Linked DNA regions of Xenopus tropicalis. The protein of the gene in region 1 purifies or fractionates together with the protein of each later gene. This does not show direct contact. Links are inferred from orthologs where the notes say so. Each region holds a gene or a part of one and is shown on either strand. Other genes may lie near its edges.

Region 1 (4,182 bases):
TTGCATAAACTGCAAGTAATTTGCAGTTTATAGGATGCTACCCACCCACCGCCATACGGCTACCCCAGCTCAACCCTGCCTGCTGCTTTCATTTATAGAACAGCATCGCCCAACCTTCTTCAGTCTTCATACAAAAGTATGTAAATAAAGGAGGCACAGCAGACAGGGTCTGGAGAATCCCTTTAGGTTTAGTACAATACTTCTCTATGAGGGAATTACTAAATTGGTAATTGGTAATTTTCTGTATTACTACATGTTGGTAATAAAGGGGAAATTGATTGGTAAATTAGAGATGATTGTTATTTTTCTAAGTAGATTATACATAAGCTTCCCCTATACCTCACCTTTTCATCCATATCCAACCTGTAGGGCGTTAGCTGGAATTTTTTTGGTTTCTTTCTTCCGGTCTCAGGGATGACAAAACTGGGGATGCCCAATGCTCCTGTGTGAGAAAATCCCCAAACGAATACCCGCTCCTTCCTTTTTGCTCTCTCGCCCACATACTGAAACACTGGAAGTTCATCTTGTTCTCTGCTCTTGCTAACTTTGGCAGACAAATGTCTCTGAAGGTGACCTTTGCATTTCAGAATACAGTGGCCTCTGAAGAACAATGAAGTCCACATTTGTAGGTGGTTGTCATGAAACCTATGTCCAGGGATACATAACCCATATAATTAACACACTTGAGATTTTACTGCATTTTATTACAAAGAGGTGATCTGATGCCTTATCTGTGTACTTGAAAAGGTTTGTGCATGATCCCACAGCTTTCTGTCTATTAGTGAGCTATAAGTTTCATCATCCTAACAGAGAATGCTGAGCCCAATATTGCAATATACTACTGAAGGGCCCAGAGCACATTGATGTCCCTTTACCCAGATTGCTGGAAGGGTAGTACTTGATTTTAACTTCATACCTATGGACAAGAAGCGTGACTATATCAAACCCCCACTTATCCCTTTGGTGCCCTGTACAAGAACATAATTGGTCAGTTCATCCCTTTCATTATCACACCTGCAAAACTGAAGCGTTGCCGGAATGCATTAATATTACTGCAGTCCTGAATGCGCTTTCTTCTGCACGTGTATTCCCATCAGCAGTCCTACATTCTATAACCCCATCATTATTCACGCCCCCCCCCCCCCGATCCTTGCTCCTCCCACTTCCTCCTGTCTTGGTCATTGCCATTTACCCTCCTTACTGTATTTTTCATTTTTAGCTGTAGCGTAGCCCCGCCCAAAACTTAGCCAATCTTAGTTAGCCAATCTAAGTTAGCCAATCATAGTCTGGTTTACAGTTATTCACAAGAGAGCTCTTCTAAGCTATTCGCTAGTTCCAAAAGAGGAGGAGAAAACATGATAAAGCAGTAGCTTCCGGGAAGGGCCAAGTAAACAAACGAGCTAGCGAGGAGGGAACTGCAGATTCGTAATTCTAAATAGGAGTCGTTTTGTGCTTTAATCATTAAATTTTGGAGCCGTTTATTCTTTGAGAGTGGGGGGTTACTGTGCTATTTTTTTTAATTGGTCACTTTGCCATTCTGTGCAAAGGCTCTGTGTATCAGTCTCTTCAGAGGCTAGCTGTGCCATGTAAGATTGGGGGGAATTGTTCCAGTCCACCTTTCCAAGATATGACCAGTGAAGTGTCGATGGCGTCATTAAGATCGGCGATGGAACAGGAAGTGCAAGACACAAGCGCTGTGTTAGAGAGCTTTCTCTTTAGTGTGTAAAATTCAAGGCGGGGCCTAAACACTGGACTACAATCCCCATAACCCAACGCTTCATCCATAGTGACCGTTTAACTGACAACGCTGAGAAGAGGGAACATATCGCTACCGTATGTATTTTTTCTTTCATGTTGTACTAATTGCATATTGAGATAAGCAGGCTTCTTCCTTTTGTACCTGTTGTGGGGAAGCCCTAAAGTATGTTCTTTGTTGAACTGACAGTTATGCATTTAGTACACAATGTGTGTATAGCAGTGGAAGCCCTGGATACAGGTATAAGCCCACTTTATACATTCTTTTTTTTATACATTTTAGAATGCTGAGAATAAGCATGAAATACTTTTTGAAATATAGTGAATACATTATTTATTGATTTGCAGCTAAATGACACCACTGTAGTCCCACTGTGGCAACATACGTGGCTGATCGAAGCTAAGATAAAGGAACCCAGCTGATATGGCAGTGGCACATTTGGCTTGCGAGAGTCAAGGTAAGTAGCAAGTCTATTCACCAGTGTCAGCAAGAGATTATCAGTCTACCCTCCATAGGGTGCCCATCTTGTCTAGGCTTTTCTATCTCTGCTGGCATTCTACCCTATTAAAGGGCACCTCCACCCAAAACTTGTGCATTGAAAGAAATTCTAAATCTAAGCAGCTTTCCAATATACAATTTTGTTTTTTAATATAATTTATAAATATTCTAATACTACTACTGAATGCAATATCTGTCTGGCTGTTTATATTCTATGAACAATCCAAAAAACAAAGAATACATAGGACTCAGGTGAATGAAGTAGAATTTTTACCCATAATATTAAAGGGTCCGCATGCTCATGCCCTAGATCTTCAGCTTCAGGGAGCCAATAATGGGACATCAAGAAGAACAGGCAGGCACTCTGGATAAATGAAACTTTCTCAACAAGTTGAAATAAAACCAGTATAGTTTATTTAAACTTACACATAATGCTATAAAGCCTTAAGCGTTTTGTACCTAAATGGGTACTTAGTCATAGGCTCATGTCTAAGTACTATAGACATGACATCTATAGCCTATGACTAAGTACCCATTTAGGTACGAAACGCGTAAGGCTTCATAGCATTATGTGTAAGTTTAAATAAACTATACTGGTTTTATTTCAACTTGCTGAGCTACTAAGGACGTTTCATTTATCCAGAGTGCCTGCCTGTACTTCTTGATTCCCCTGTTTATATTCTTTATTCTTCTGGTTCTGGCTTCTGAAACAGTTTAGCAGAAGCCAGCTGATTAACAGACATTAAGGAAAACTGATTTTTGCTACATTGTTTCAGGAGACAGAAACAATACCTGTAGACCTTCAGTGGCAGGTACACATGATGAGCAGCCAGGAAGTAAACCTTTAACATAATGTTGACTGTGCAATATTGATGCTGAGCTATATATTTTTGTTATACATGTAAAACGTTTGCTGAATTGGATGTACTGCATGTACATCCAATTCAGAAGAAGCTGCTCGGATGAGTAGTGGAACGTCTTCAACGAATACTTAACAAGTCCAGTTGCTTTAGATTTATTTATACTAGATATGTACTGTATGTATTTTGCTTCCATTAAGTGCAACTCTTTGTATTTGTGAGACGTGTCATTGTTTTCAGTAAAGGAGAGGTTAGGTCATCTGTCATTTTCTTATTTGTAAATTTTCCTAATTCTTAGGTTCTATGGTTGACCTCTCAGGACAAGGGCTTCAGAAATTGAGCCCTACACTTCCTTTTGGGAATGACACACAAACTCTGATATTGGACAAAAATCAAATCATTAAGCTTGAACATATGGAAAAATGCAGAAATCTAGTACAGGTTTGTAGCTGAAATGAAATTTGGGGGGTGTATTCACTGTGTATGGGTTGCTCAGTGTAGATCCCATGCTCTTGACTTAAACTGTTAAAATAGCTTTGCATTGACATGTATATTAATATTCATGTTGCATGCATGTTGACGTATATTTTTCTCTAAAATTTCATTTCTGTGATGTAACTGAGACCATTATTTTATGTACACCTATGTGTGGGCTTTATTTAAGCATCCCTTCAGGATGGCTATAGCTTTGGAGCTATGTTTAACACTGTATATATTTATCATTGGGTATATAGATTTTAGTTACAGTATTGTGTAGAAATGCTAAGCAATAAATGTTTAACAAGCACTGGGAGTGGGGTTATCAGTATTTTTCTTACATAAACAAGCTATATAACATAACTTTTGATGTGTATTTTGAAAAGCTTTAATAAATATGGTCAGAAAAGTTGTCAGTGAGTCAGTGGAGACCCAGACATACAATCCTTTATATTCCAATGCTGACTCTGTGTTACTTATAATATAAACAAGTTAAACAAGCAAATTTGAAACCCATGATGTTTCCTCCAAGAGCATTCTTGAGCAAATACAGCAGATGATACTCACTTGTGGAGACCACCAGAGTGATTG
Region 2 (4,095 bases), about 30 Mb from region 1:
ACCAATAATTTGGTTAGTAGCGCATATAAACTGGGCTGGCATTAATATTATATCTGATAGAGAAGAAAGGAATTGTACGGTACAATGAATGCTGCCGCAATTCATTCCGACATAATCGTGCACTTGCGACAGAATCTGCAGTGTGCCATAGACTTATGTACTTGGATCAACTATAGGATTGAAGCTGCCAGCAATAAGAGGCACAGGTAGGTTGCCACCTATTCAGTATTTTACAAGTGGATAGCAAAATGATGCTTGATGCTGGGAAAAAAGTTGAAAATATAAGAAGGCTGGTACTTTTTCCAGGTGCCAGTCCCTAGGCACAGGTACAATATAAAGAAGAAGCAAAGCCTATTATAAAATAAATGCTCACTATACCTTCATTTTGTATTTAAGACCTGAACATATTTATTTTCTCCCCTAAGCTTCTATTATTTTTTTTTATTATTAACATTTATTTATAAAGCGCCAACATATTCCGCAGCGCTGTACAATAAGTGGGTTACATACATTGGACATACAGAGTAACATATGAAGCAATCAATAACCCATACAAGAGGTGAAGAGGGCCCTGCCCAAAAGAGCTTACAATCTACAAGAAGAGCTTACAATCTTCTATAAGGTATCCCTGGAAATGGCCTCTAAGACTGACTTACAACAAACTTATTGTTATCACCTCCCTTAGTCACTCCTTTGCCATATAATCCCATTACAAGAAGCCAGAAAGTGAATGTGACACGACTTGAACTTTATTAGGGCATGTTGTCAGGTCAATTCAGCTATAAGCTTGCTTCTAAATGTGTCATTGCTCCTCCTGACCTGCAGATGCCGCTCTGCTTCATTTCCCCGCTCTGGCCTTACGCGTTCCCTGCTCATCCCCTCTGCAAGTTCCCGGCCAGTCTAGAACTTTCCCCCTACGGAGTCACGGTGAGGGACAGTTTCTGCGGCGCGTTGTTGTTTGGCATTCCCTGCGGTCCGGCCTGGGGATTCACTGAGCTGCAGTTGGAGCGATCTGTTTGCTGTGTGTAACACGTACAGGTATGGGCTGTGTGTAACACGTACAGGTATGGGCTGTGTGTAACACGTACAGGTATGGGCTGTGTGTAGCACGTACAGGTATGGGCTGTGTGTAGCACGTACAGGTATGGGCTGTGTGTAACACGTACAGGTATGGGCTGTGTGTAACACGTACAGGTATGGGCTGTGTGTAGCAGGTAGAAGTACTGCCTATGCTGCTGCCCAGCACCTGGGTCCGGGGGTTTCCGGGTCAGTGACAGCTGGGCAGTACGTACAGTTGATGGGTTTCCTTGAGCTGCGGGGGCTGCTGTTACAATACAGTGGGCGTGTGTCCCCTATTACAGTAGACACAATGTAGCATGGCATACGTTTTGTGCTGTTTTAATAGTTAGTAGTGTTTGTGTAACCTGCAGCCCCCTAGCAGTTGAAAATACAGTACTAGTAAATTGTAAATGGCTGTGCCTGCTGGGAGCTGTAGTGCTAGTACCTCAGGGCAATCTTAGCCCTTGCAACAGCATCAGGCATCACACTATCTTGTATTTCCCCTCACTTCCTACTGTGGCTGCTGGGAAATCCAGGCTCTGATGTCAGGGTATTGTCCTTCAGAAGGTTATTCTGCTGGGGGACAAGTATTGCAATAAAGTAATATACACAGTAACATGATGGCATTCCTTATGTTAAGAGATACAGGAGGAGGTCCCTGTCCTATAAAGATTACACTCCCATGTATTGGAGGCTTATGTTCTAAGTGTGTTAGGGATATGGCACAGCAGGTAAAACTCATCCCATAATCTCTTAGGAGCATATTTATCATACTGTGTAAAAAGTGGAGTGAAATATTCAACAACAATCAGTGATGTTGATCATAGCAGCCAATCAGATAGTTTGTTCGGTTTAATAACTGTTGAAATTGACTTGCTGATTGGTTAGCTTGGGCCGGTAATGCCTTACTCCACTTTTTACACAGCATAATAAATATACCCCTAAGTGTGACATCCCTATTGTTTGTACCTACTGTAATATATATATATATATATATATATATATATTTGTAATTTAATTTAGTATATTAATGCCTCCCATGTGTCTTAAACTAATTACTATAAAATGATTCACATAAATGATTGCAAAAGGTTTGCTGTGGAAGATTGTGAGCTCTTTTGGGCAGGGCCCTCTTTTCCTCTTGTATTGTGTTGGGTACTGGTTGCTTTTGGATGTGTTTTTGTATGCGTAATGTATATATCCATTTATTGTGCAATGTTGTAGAATACGTTCATGCTTCACAATTGTATTAATAATAATAAGTAAAATAGGGTTTTTTGTTTTTTTTTCAATGTTTCTCATAAGTACCTGGTACCATAGAATGCATGACAACGGCATAAAGTAGTCATAGTGGCAGTGTTTCTACAGTTATGGGTTTGTTTAGTTTGAAGCAGCACTGCATTTTTTCTGGAAACATATGGTGCAGTAAAATGATAGAGTCCAGCCACCGAAAGGGTTAAGGATAAGGCGTCTGACAGTTGTCAGTTTCCAAGGAGACGGTGTTTGGTGTATAGGAACCAGTATTGTTTGTATAGTGTTAGTGGGGGGAAAGAAAAGGCTCAAATGCTGGTAACTATGCAAGTACTAAAAGAAAAAGTACTTCCCTCCCCTTTCATTCAGTGCTTTGGGCCCACCTTCAACATGAGAGCATAAATTCTTAGTCTGTGAAAGTGTTCTTTTTAAACAGTATATGTTATATGGAATGGTATGGCTTTCACAGTGGACTTAGGGCTATAAAATACGATGCTACTCGTTACGGCTACAGAACGCCAGAAAATACTCTGCCATAGACAGTACTAAGAATTGTGCTAAAACACACATAGAGACAGTTATGCCAACTACTTGCTTAAAGGAGAAGGAAAGGCTTAGTCATTAGTGCCTTACCTTTTACTCCGGGCTGGTGCTCCTGTTAGGAGAAAACCACACCAGCCCGGGGTACCTGCGAGCAAGCGCCTCCTCTTCCTGCTCCTGTCTTCGCGCGCTTGCGCATTCGCAGTAGAGTGAAAAGTCGAACTTTAACAAAAAAGTCTGCTTTTCACTCTACTGCGCATGTGCCGGCCCAGGGATTCCGAAGACAAAAGAAATAAGGAAGAGCAAACGCTTGCTCGCAGGTACCCCAGGCTGGTGCGGTTTTCTCCGAACAGGGGCACCAGCCCGGGGTAAAAGCTAAGCAATTAAAGTCACTTGGGCCTAACATTTTGGCACCCCCAAGTGAGCTTGCTATTTACAGGGTCGGACTGGAGGGTGCAGGGCCCACCAGCCACGTCCCCTAACCCCCCCCCCAGGGCCCCCGCCTGACGTCCTCCCCGAGCGTGTATAAATTGAACGCGTCGGGGAGGAACAGTCAGTAGGGGGAGCGCCGGCAAAGGTCGGACTGGGCCGCTGGGGCCCACTAGGGCCGGGGCCCACCGGGATTTTTCCCGGTGTCCCGGCGGCCCAGTCCGACCCTGGCTATTCAAGTAAATGGTGGGGCAGTTCTGCAAATTACCCAGTCCTTCATTGCCCTAAAATATATTATAATTTATACCAGGATTTCTAGCAGCTGCCTGTGGCTATCAAATTGATTCTTATGGCACCTGTCCTGCCCAATGGCAGTTTTGTCATCTTTGAATTATACTTGTCATATGCAACATAAAATATAAAAAACACAACTTGCCTTATATATGGGTGGATTGATAACTATTTAACTAAATAACCTTTATTGCAAAATTGCAGTCTATACAAAGTAGTTGAAAACAAATTAGAAACAGTGAAAAAAAGGAGAAAAGAAATACAAGGTGGCATAGCTCCAAGTATCAGTCTATTTTGTTACAAAACTGTCTAGTTTAGGTGTGCTCACAGTGTGCACACCCTCTGAACTAGTCACTTTGGCACATATGGACTTGCAAAAGTCATATTGCGAAGACATCTCCTATGCTCTAACTGGGTCATTCCAGAACATTGTTAAGTGGAGCTGTTGATTTAGATGTCTTCTTTGGGTTATTGACATGCTGAAGCTTCCTAGCAAATGCTTAAAGGTTTTGTGACAAAATAGAC

What was found.
Region 2: the proteins of cep97 (region 1) and sugt1 purify together in Homo sapiens (affinity purification with mass spectrometry; 3 studies listed by BioGRID and IntAct, with this or other methods). This does not show direct contact. The link is inferred for Xenopus tropicalis from reciprocal best matches to the Homo sapiens genes CEP97 and SUGT1.

Annotation. Positions count from the first base shown.
Region 1 is NC_030678.2:101,943,970-101,948,151, forward strand, and holds the start of cep97 (centrosomal protein of 97 kDa), read left to right. Parts: upstream 1-1,336; 5' UTR 1,337-1,833; intron 1,834-2,103; 5' UTR 2,104-2,179; coding exon 2,180-2,213; intron 2,214-3,412; coding exon 3,413-3,555; intron 3,556-4,182. Other genes in the region: rcc1l (RCC1-like G exchanging factor-like protein), read right to left, coding at 345-623. UniProt on the Homo sapiens protein: Acts as a key negative regulator of ciliogenesis in collaboration with CCP110 by capping the mother centriole thereby preventing cilia formation. Required for recruitment of CCP110 to the centrosome.
Region 2 is NC_030678.2:132,229,773-132,233,867, reverse strand, and holds the start of sugt1 (protein SGT1 homolog), read left to right. Parts: upstream 1-1,159; 5' UTR 1,160-1,194; intron 1,195-4,095. UniProt on the Homo sapiens protein: May play a role in ubiquitination and subsequent proteasomal degradation of target proteins.